Linked DNA regions of Rattus norvegicus. The protein of the gene in region 1 binds, or shares a complex with, the protein of each later gene. Links are inferred from orthologs where the notes say so. Each region holds a gene or a part of one and is shown on either strand. Other genes may lie near its edges.

Evidence for each region. The genes of interacting proteins can lie anywhere in the genome.
Region 2: Gtf2e2 (region 1) and Polr2c share a complex: the UniProt entries of both Homo sapiens proteins name them as parts of the TBP-based Pol II pre-initiation complex. The link is inferred for Rattus norvegicus from reciprocal best matches to the Homo sapiens genes GTF2E2 and POLR2C.

Annotation. Positions count from the first base shown.
Region 1 is NC_086034.1:65,101,103-65,105,964, forward strand, and holds the end of Gtf2e2 (transcription initiation factor IIE subunit beta), read right to left. Parts: exon of another isoform or gene 2,507-4,862; coding exon 2,391-2,506; intron 1,996-2,390; coding exon 1,879-1,995; 3' UTR 1,284-1,878; downstream 1-1,283. UniProt on the Homo sapiens protein: Recruits TFIIH to the initiation complex and stimulates the RNA polymerase II C-terminal domain kinase and DNA-dependent ATPase activities of TFIIH. Both TFIIH and TFIIE are required for promoter clearance by RNA polymerase.
Region 2 is NC_086037.1:10,166,780-10,173,117, forward strand, and holds the start of Polr2c (DNA-directed RNA polymerase II subunit RPB3), read right to left. Parts: upstream 4,152-6,338; 5' UTR 4,128-4,151; coding exon 4,042-4,127; intron 3,941-4,041; coding exon 3,891-3,940; intron 1,212-3,890; coding exon 1,143-1,211; intron 1,016-1,142; coding exon 963-1,015; intron 1-962. UniProt on the Homo sapiens protein: Core component of RNA polymerase II (Pol II), a DNA-dependent RNA polymerase which synthesizes mRNA precursors and many functional non-coding RNAs using the four ribonucleoside triphosphates as substrates.

The DNA of each region.
Region 1 (4,862 bases):
GAACAGACAGAGGTGAGACCAAGACTTCAACTTGAAATTTCTGGAGGAATGACTAGTCACCCAGAAGAACTGCTGCCAGAATCTTTTCTTTTCTATTAAAGCCACTGAACACAACCAAGCTCTTAAGCTTCCCACGGAGACTATCTATTCCCTACACACCTCCCAGTGATACCGTCTAGTACTTCAGCACAGAGAACAACAAAGAGAACAGTGGCATGGAAGACAATGCAAGCGAATGAAACAAAATTAGAGAATTTACAGTTTGACAATGAGATACTAGTTTTTCTAGATTTAGTTTCTTCATTTCTGTGGAGTGAGGTAAAAAATAGAATTAATTATTAGACCAGTCCCTAAGAAAACAAACAAGGGCAGGCTGAGCTAGAAATCACCAGCACAGACCTGACAGTAAAGCATGTATATGAGCACCTACCTGTCCAGGAGGCCTCAGGTCTGCCTCCTTCCTTATAAAGCCAGATGAAGCAGGAAGACAGACAGACTTGCCCTTCCAGACCTTGGCCATAACCTAGCTTGGAGAACATGGTTTGCAAGTGGAGGTACTGCTAAGAGGTAAGTGAATTCTAAATTTATGGGGAAGCATTACAGATCCTATGAGCAAAAACCTTGAGACACCAAGTAAGACAATACATTCCTTATATTCTAACTGATATGGAAACCACAATGTGACATCTTCTTAGATTGTATTTTGGAGCTCAGAGGTTAAAAAAAAAAAAGGTAAAGCAATGAATGAAGTATTCATCAGAGTCCAGTGCTTTGGGTTACAGTCCCACCTTTTCTGAGGATGTCAAACCTGGCTTTTATATCCTAACATCATTTAATATGTGAGATAAGACCCGAGATTGATCAACTCAAAGGAGCGTGGCACGTAAGAGGAAAGTGCAGGTAAGAAATGCCTTCTTCGGGGCTGGGGATTTAGCTCAGTGGTAGAGCACTTACCTAGGAAGCGCAAGGCCCTAGGTTTGGTCCCCAGCTCCGAAAAAAAAGAACCAAAAAAAAAAAAGAAAAAAAGAAATGCCTTCTTCAAAGTACAGGGAAAACCCTACAAATTCACCATACTTGGTAATGGCTTTTATTGAACTGGACTGTAACAAATGACAGAGGGCCCCTCAGTAGAAATGGCCAGAACATCTCTCAAGTGAGAACTGGGCTATGGTGAAGCGAATGTTCAGGTTGGCAAGAAGAGTTTCCCCATTCATGTTCAAGGTGGTAGCAAATCATGAATCCAATGTATTAACTGCTTAGCCTTTTAAAAGAAAGCATAACAATTATATTTAGTGTACTTTTATTGCTCAGCTTATTGACCAGAGGCATACCCTGTGTTCCAAAGATCAAGTCCTCAAGCGTGCCAACAGTACTGACTCCAGTCTCTGTCACATCCCAAACACCCATCCAGACAAGTCAGGGACTGCAGCTGCTCCCTGCCATTTTCAAGAAGAGACAAACTGAAATTCCTAACTTCTTAAAGATCTTCCTACAAATGATTTTATTATAAATATTTCTCTTGGAATAAACAAAGGCTGTATTCAGCACTATCTTCCAACTTGTTCTAAAGCAGAAGAGAAAACATGGAATCCAGAACCATTTAGAAATCAAGATAAACAGCAGACACCTGAGTGCCATGCTAAGTGTCTTTCTAGTAAAATAAAACAAACAAACCCAGAAAGTTAAACAGGAACACCCAGTCCCACTAGCCTGCTGGATGAAAATAATGAGTTTGGTAATCCGCTCCTGTTCTGTAAACTGAATTGCTCCTCTCCTCAGTCCTGAGGAGCAGACGGGAAGGCAGAAAGTCTTCAGATCCCGAGAGCATCAAGAAAGATCTTGACTGTGCGTCTGTAACTTTATGGATAAAAATATTCCCTATTTGCCAGGGGTAATGTCCGAGTAATCCTTCAGCACTCCAGCCAAGTGTTCATTGTGAGTCTTAAACCGTCGCTTTTTCTGTGAAGCAGGCTTTTTCCTTCTCTGAATAGAGGCCTGCAGGACAAGGTAAAGACAGTTAAACACAAGTGACCCTAGGGGCAGATGGTTAACATTTACTCAACAAGCCCAAAGACCAGCAGCATAGGCACAGGGTTCTGAGCCTTCCCTGGTTCTTGCTTGGAGGCCCAGCCTCAAACACCCCCTTCACAGCACATACCCAGCCTCCAGCTAGACCTGGTGCCTTCTGACACCACGAGGCTTTATAAACCTCCACTGGAAAAGAACAGGCAGGCACGAAAGCATAACACAACTTATTGAGTCATTAAGAGGCAGTGAATTTCTGTGCTGTCTCCATCAAAGGGAATCACTTCCTCAATAGTTGGAGAGCAGGATGAGAAGCAGCTAACTGTTAAGAGAAAGGACAAACTGCTTTTCTAAAGACTACATACCACTTTCTTTGGTCCAGATTCCTGCATGGAAGAAATACCCTGTCGCTTCAGATACTCTTCAATTTTCTCCTCATCCATTGAATCCACAGTAACACTCCTCCACAGTTTCTGGAACTCTATACCAAGAAGACAGCAGTTATTTTTCCATAAATTTGTATAAACCATAACATCCTGGCGATCAAAATTCACCTTGAAGATTATATGTCCTGGGCCTAAATTAACACGTCTGAGATTTCACTAAGAAAACAAAGAAATACCTTAAACCCCGGCACTTGGGAAGCAAAGCAGGCAGACCTCCGCAAGTTCAAGGCCAACCCCACCTAACATAGCAAGTTCCAGGCAAACAATGAGGATACATAGTGAGACATTGTCTCAAAAAAGAAGGAAAGAGACAGACACAGACACAGAGCAAACGTATGTCAAAGCTGGAAGAAGCACCAGTAGGTCATGTGACCTGGAAGGCGTCTGACAGGACCACCAGTGTGCTCTATGTTTTATGATTTAGCTGGAGGAGGGTGCTGTAGTTGAAGCTTCTCCCATCTTCAAAGGGAAGAGGCAGTTAGCACTTGAGGAGGAGGAGAAGGAAGAGGAAGAGGATGAAGAGGAAGAGGAGAACACTCCTTACCATGAACAAAGGAAAAAGGCAAGTGTCTCCTAGATATCTCATTCTCATACTGGATATGTACAAAACAAAAATCCTTTATGCTTTCAATTCTGCTCCTAAAGACAGCTCTCCCGACCAGGCTCATGAGCAGCCTTGAAGCCTTCCCCACACACACCCACCTGTGATGCAGTCTTGCAGCGTGTATTCTGGAAGCCGAGAAAGGGAAAGCTCCTGACTATGATGCCAACCCCTACACCAACATGCACCTCCCATCCTTGCCAGTCCCCTAGCCGTCCTGCAGACTGTCACATACTTCATTTGCAAGCTATGTGATGGCTCAGTGGTTAAGGCTGTTCTTCAAGAGGACCTAAGATTTGATTCCCAGCACCCACCTACAAGGTGGCTCACAACCATCTCTAACTCAAGTTCTGGGGGCTCTCACACCCATGTGACCTCCACTGCCCTGCTCAGCAGTTAAGAGCACCAACATACATGCAGGCAAAATACTCATGCAAAAAAAAAAAAAGATAAATTTTTTTCCAAATTCTTTCAATCTAAAACAAACAAATGGCGACTAAGGCTATGTGCATGTGAAAACATGCAAGCGACTAATGCATTATTTCAAGAATCAAAGTTCACACAGCTAGTCTGGCTATTGTTTAGTGTGTTCCCACACCTTCAACACTTGACACCCTATACCCCAGAATTCTAACAAGAAAGCCTCTGAATAAGCCGCTTTGCTTCATAACTTAACAAAAGACTAGGACAGCAATCTTAAGCTAAAAGGAACAGAGCTGGAGGCAAGAGACAACACGACCACAAACCGCATTGCAAAGCTACAGTAATCAAAGCAGCCTAAAAATAAAGAAATGTCAACCTATGAAACAGAACACAGAGTACAGAGAGGATTGTCTTAACATCCACTAAAATAAATATCTCAGTTGATTTTTAATAAAGATGTTAAAAACAGAAAATGAAACGAAGTCTCTTTAATAGTGTCTTGGGTTGGGGAGCAAGTGTGGCTGGAGAGATATCTCAGCAGTTAGGAGCACCAACTACTCCTCCAGAGGACCTGGTTGGCTTCCTGAGCACCTGCATGGTGGCTCTTAATTTCAGTTCTGGCCTCTGTGGGTCTCCTGTAAGTGCATACAGATATACATGCATGCAAAACACCCACACGAAAAAAATAAAGTGGGCCAGAAAAATAATTGAACCTACAAGCAGAAAAGGAGGTTTTTATCCCATACTCTGTGCAGCAGTAAACTCAATTAAGATTAATGACAGACGCACACAGAGTTTTTTAAGAGCTCTGCTGTAATTATTTGTCCCTCTGTAATGACTCCTTCTCTTCCCTCACTGTCTTTATCTTCAGTGGTCAGCAGTCTGAATAAACCATGTCTGGTGTTTTCCTCTTTCGTTTGTTTGGAGAGGGACGACTTATCTCATGTCCTCATGATTTAGATCCATCCTGGTTTGATGTCATTAATTCTGGAAAATTCTTGGCCACTGCCATTCAACTGCCTCTTCCACCATCTCCTTCAGACTCAAATTATCCATGAAGACCATCTGCTATTGTCCTATAACTCGAAGGTGCAGTTGGTTTTTTCACACTTCCTTCTGTTTGTGTATCAGCGTTCATTTCCCGTGGTTACACCATGTTTACGAGAGGCTCCTGGAGCTGTTCCTCAGCTCTGTCGCCACACTTTTCACTAGATTTTCTTAGTTGAAATATTCCACTTCATCCTAACAGTTGATCTGGCCTTTTCTACTACTTAGTTCAACATTAACAGTTATTTTAAATTCTGTGTCCGGCAGTTGTAGTTAGTAGTTCAAGTATGTGTGTCTTAAAAGTTTGGTCTCGGGGTTGG
Region 2 (6,338 bases), on another chromosome or scaffold:
ACCCACATACAGAACCAGAGAGGACAGATGGCCACTTGTCATATGCCCACCTTCCAGCTTCCTTAATTATCAACATTTGCCACTCTTTGTGGATGTTTTGTGTGTTCCGAGACAGAGTTTTTCTCACTAGGTAACCCTGTAAATGGTGGGATACAGGCACACAGCCGTAGAGGACTGCAGCACACTGATCTGTGCTCAAGTGCGCAGAAGGCAAGGGCAGGGCGCCTGCAGCTTATTTTCTTAGGGAAGAACAGGGCAGACGTAGTAAAACGTTATCATCTGGTAACCACAGAGAAACAAAACAAAGGGGGATTTATTACTGTTTCTCAGACACGCACGGGGACACATGCCTTTAATGACCAAGGGAAACACTCAGGAGGCAGGGCAGGCAGATTTCAGTTCAAGGCCAGCCAGGGCTACATAGCGAGAGTTCCTTAAAACTAACACAAAAAATGGAAACAATAAGTGGATGAAGGGTGTGAGGCTGGCTGTTAAAAGTGACTACGGCTCAGCTGCCAGAGCAACACCCAGTAGTTCACAACTGCCTATAACTAGCTCCAGGGGCTCCGAGCGATGCCCTCTTTTGACCCTAGCCCACCTTCACAGACAGAGGCAGACATACACACACATAAAAGTGGCTGTGTTCCCCCACCCTTTTGGTTGTTTTGAGACAGGGTTTCTCTGTACAGCCCTGGCTGTCCTGGAACTCAAACAGATCCACCTGCCTCTGCTTCCCAAGCTGAGCCTAGAGGCATGTGCCGCCACACCTGCCCGTGATGATGCCTGGATGTGCTGAGAGCAATGTGAAGCCCCATCAGAACCAAGGACCACACTACTAAGACATCATCTCAACAATGAGCATGCTACAGTCAGCTGGAAGGAAGATGCCCAGAAAGATCCCAGGGAGAACTGGACCCCCCTCCCCCGACCTGTGCTTCCTGTCTATCTGCCAACACACGTACCCGGGAGTACTGCAGCTTGTCCACAATGTCATCACTAGTGAGGGGGATTAAACCTGCAAGACACAGAAAAGTGCTCTGCAGAACAGCCAACAGCCAAGCCACCACAAGAACCTCAGAGGTCAGGCAGGCTAGGGACAGGGAGCATCCCACTTTGATCTCTTCCTCAACACCGGCACTCACCAAGCCTGTGCGCGATGAATTCATCATGAAGGACCGAGGAGTTGGCATCAATCTGAACCCAGTCAATGGCTGGAAAAGGCGGCAACAAGACAGGACGAATGAGAACTAGCCATCAGATTCATTTACAGACCTATAGCACTGTCTCACATCACTCAGTGCCCAGCAGCACTCGGGAGGCAGAGGCCAGCCTTGTCTACAAATTGAGTTCCAGGACAGCTAGGGCTACAAAAGAAAAACAGTGTCTCCAAAGCAAAAACAAAAACAAAAAAAACCAAAACAAACAAAAAAGAAAGAATCAAGTCAGTGCTTACAAAGTTGAAGGTGACCAGACCAGGCCAGACTAGGCTGTAAGAGGCTTCAAAGTTTAGCTCCAGGTTTAGGCCTTCCACATTTCATATATATAATCTTCCTGCCCCAGTGAACTGGGTATAGGCCTTGTTAGTGATACACATACACCCCTACCTACCTCAGAGAATTTAGAGATATTTAGGGAATTGAGTACTTTAAACCAGCTACCTGTGCCAATACCAAATCCAAGAATAAAAGCTATTTGGGCACCTAAAAGTTGAGGGAAACATGGGTTGGAGGAATGGCTCAGAGGTTAAGAGGTTCCTGGCAGGGTTGGGGATTTAGCTCAGAGGTAGAGCATTTGCCTAGCAAGCGTAAGGCCCTGGGTTCGGTCCCCAGCTCTGAAAAAAAGGGGGGGGGGAAGGGTTCCTGGCACCCATGTCAGGTAGCTCACAACCCCTGTAACTCCAGCTTCAGGGGGATCTGAGACTCCTGGGCACCTCTGGCACCTGCATTCACCTGTAAACACCTACACACAGAGACAGTTAAAAACAATTTAAAGGGCTGGAGAGATGGCTCAGCCCTTAAGAGCACTGACTGCTTTTCCAGAGGTGCTGAGGTCAATTCCCAGCAACCACATGGTGGCTCATAACCATCTGTAATGGGATCTGGAGCCCTCTTCTGGTTTGTCTGAAGACAGCAACAGTGTACTGACATACATAAAATAAATAAATATTAAAAAAAAAATTTAAAAATTTTCAAGTTAGGGAAAACATCTCAAGAGTAAAAAGTAAAACATCACAAGTTCATGGCCCACACCTTATTTATGATATCACCAGAGAGCCCACTTAGAATTTCAGTGTTACTCCCATCAAGGGATGGTTCACTGGATGGCTTCAACAGGGAAAGCACACTAACAATAAATCCAACCCCTCTCAGTTCAATGCTGGGCATACGGGACTGTACACACACAGAAGCTTAACTTAAACCTGTACCTAATCGCCCATAAGCAAACACCTGCACATAAACAATGATGTTCAGAAATCAAATGGTGTGGGAGCCCAGTTCTCAAGCAGCTGCCATAGGCACAAGGAAGAGAGGTCAGAAGACCAGGCGAGGACAGGCCCAGCCTGCCCTTCCCTGCAGCGCTTCTTCAACCCTAGCAAGGGTGAGGCTTCCTGACGCTTTACTTCCAGGGCCCCCTCAATGCCCTTAATCTACTCCCCATCCCTTAACCCCTGGTGGGAACTCCCGGTATAAAAACCCTGTGTGTGCGTATCTACAAATGCTCCATCCCCTTCTTTTGGTCTCCTTCCTTTCTCTCAAAACAAACAACAAACAAACAAAACTGTTTAGACTCTCCTGAAGACAGCTGTCATATTTTGCCTTGTGTTATGTTTGCTCATTTCTTGACTTCACCTGGAAACTTACATGATCTACAGAAATAAGAAATTCATTAAAAAAAAAAAAAAGACACCAGAATAAATACAAAAAACCCTGTAGTCTGTCTTATCTGTCTGTCTCTCACTCACACACACTTCAACCATAAAGAACTAAAGTATGCTGTTTGTAAAAGAAAAGTTTAATAACACACATGCTTTCTCTCATGTGGGCGCTCTCTCTCTCTCTCTCTCTCTCTCTCTCTCCCTCCCTCCCTCCCTCCCTCCCTCCCCCTCCCCTTTTTAAATAAAAGGAGAGTTCAGGGCCTACAAGATGGTTTAGCGGGATAAAGGTACTTACTTGTTGTCAAGCCTTATCGAGGTCAATCCCTGGGACACACATGGTGGGAGAAGAGAATCCCTCCCACAAACTGTACTCTGACCTTCACACATGAACTATGGTACTCTCGAGCCCAGAGATATACACATATATGTAAATAAATATGTTCTAAAGAAGATAGGGGGAGAAGAAAAGAAAGTATAGCAGGGTACTATCTGGAAGGACGGAAGGACGGGAGAAATCACTCTGTGTGTAGATTTAAAAAATGTCATTACGTAGTCTGTTATTTTGTAAAATTAACAGACATTTTCAAAAGACGCCAACCAGTAACGAACACTGACTTAAAAGCAAAAGCGCAGGGGCTGGGGATTTAGCTCAGCGGTAGAGTGCTTGCCTAGGAAGCGCAAGGCCCTGGGTTCGGTCCCCAGCTCCGAAAAAAAGAACCAAAAAAAAAAAGCAAAAGCGCACCATCTACATTACTTCAGTAATCTCTGTATCACCCGCTAACCTAGGGTCACCTTACGGATGAGGAGGCTGCAGCCCTCGGCTGTTTTAATAGTGCTTAGTCTTGATTTCTGTTGCTTTTGGGTAGACGAACAGAGTTGGAATCCCCGCTGCCGAGCAAGGCACGCACCGAGGCGGGCCTAGGCAGCCGCAGCCCGGCGTGCACCTCCTCAGTGTTCTCAGCTCCCACCCGGGGCGGAGGGACGGCGGCACCGGCTCCGAGGGAGGGTCGCTTACCTATTATGGGCACCTCTGCGATGAAGACCCTCCGAATGGAATTGGCCACCCTACAGGAGGAAAGGCAGGCAGCGTGAGAGGCCCCGAAGACACAGCCCCGGGGTCAGGAGCCCGAGGCCCCGGCCGCCCGCCTCTCCCCTCGCCTCCTTACGCCAGGTCCGTGTTCTCGATAATGAACTTGACGTTCTCTTCAGTGAGTTCCGTGATCCGCACGGTTGGCTGGTTGGCGTACGGCATCACGACCGGCTGCCTGTCTCCCGCGCCAGCCCCACAGCGCGCCTGCGCGACCACCAGTTTGTCGGCGGGGCACCCGGGCGCTTCCGGCTAGACGTGGGCGCAGTGCCACCTGCTGACCGGAGGCCGGAACTCCTGGCCTGTGTTTTCTAACCACACTGGCTACATGCACTGGTCCTATGCTCTTGAAATCCCCAAGATACACAGCACAAAATTTCACGGACAGGGTCATTCACGCCAATGTTATTTGTAATTGCTAAAAATAATAATAAAAATTCCTAGGAAGCGCAAGGCCCTGGGTTCGGTCCCCAGCTCCGAAAAAAAGAACCAAAAAAAAAAATTGATAGAGGCTTGGTTAAACGTACATACGGGGATGTGGAGATAAGAGCACTGGCTGCTGTTCCCTAAGAGTTGGATTGTATTCCCAGCATCCATATGACGTCTAACATCTTTAGCTCCAGTTTCTAAGGAATCTCTTTCCTGGCATCTGAGGGCACCAGGTAGTCAAATGGTGCACAAGCATACATGCAAGCAAAACACCCATATACATAAGAATAATTTTTAAATGTGTAGGAATACAATAAAGCCTTTTAAAAGATGGAAGCTGTACATCTAAACATAAATAAAATGGCTAGGGAGGTGGCTCATTGTGTAAAACGACTGACAGGTTATTTCTCTGCCAGAGAAATGAGTCAATTCAAGTCAAACTAGAACATATTAAAAGGTAGGTTTATTGGGAAGCTGTTCTCAGGCAAGTTCACTGGCCCCCAAGAATGGAGGCCAGGGGAGTCACCAAGGGAAGGACAGGGAGGGAAAAGAGGGGAGAGGGAGAGAGACGGGGAGGGAGGGAGGGAGAGAAAAGGAGAGAGAGCACAAAGCACAAGGTATCTGGATTAAACAGGAAAGAGAAGAGCCTCTGAGGAAGGGCAACCCAGCCTCTAAGCTGGAAAGTTCAGGGTGGGGGCAGAATATGACAAGTAGGGACTGAAAGATGCTGGGAGTACCTAGGGGCCAGCTCTGCATTGATATGTAAAGTACGCACCACAGTCCCTGGTCCCACTGTCAAAGCCAAAACACCAATGTGCAAGGATACAGGTTCAAATTCTCAGAAAACTCGATGTGCAAGGATACAGGTTCAAATTCTCAGAAAACTCGATGTGCAAGGATACAGGTTCAAATTCTCAGAAAACCCGTAAAACAGCCAGCATGGTAATGCCAAAGTCTGTAATCTTAGTGCTCCTTTGAGTTGGAAGGTGAAGAGAAGAATCCCCTGTATGCTCTTAGGACAGTTAGATAGTGCGCAAAGAAGCAAACAACAAAAGACCCACACCCGAGCTGATGTCAGAGAGAGTGCTGTAACGCATACACATGAAAATCAAAATACATGTGTGTGTGAGAGACGGTACAACACATCATGTGCGTGGAAAGACACCAGGCCTGACTGCAAATGCTCTCACCCACTGAGCCATCTCAAAGGTCCCCAACATATACTCCAACAATGCCCATACAGAGGGGGCCTGCTCACAGTACACACCATCCCTGGGAATTGTGAGTCCCACTTGTCTGCTGAGTGAGAGGGATGCTAAAAAGGATAGAGAAAAGATGAACTGTAATCATGGCAGTAACTTTATGGGACGTCGAGACAAAAAAATCAGAGGTTCGAAAAGAGCCCGACAGAAAGTCCAGTGGACAAGAACGGAAACTCAGCTTTCCCCGTCAGCTGATTTAAACAGGAGTACAGCAGAAGGCAGTGCAAACCATGGGCACAAAGGAAACAGCCAGTGTAAAGGCTGGAGGACTATGAAAGCTAAAGATTGCCCTCATGTAGTCAGAGAGTAGGAGCAGACAAGGAGCTCATGGCCTGGGACTGCCCTCACTTGCCTGGGCCCAGAGATGCAATGCTGTCATGGTGGCCCTGTAGGTTTAAGGAAGTGTCACAGTCAGAACTCAGACTTCTTCCATATACTACTGTCTACCGTCGGGGTCTTGGATACTCAACATTGTCTAGATGGACACCGTATAGACAAAACAATAAGAAATTGTTTCAAACATATTTATTATTTTTACAGACTCTAAATGTACTAATGATCCTGCAATGCACACTGGTGTCTGTGATGCCAGGTTCAGCATGACCATCCAAAAGGCACCTGTCTAGGGGAGGCAGCTTTCTGAGGGGATCCAGAGGAGCAGTGGCCAATGGCAAATACCTCTGTG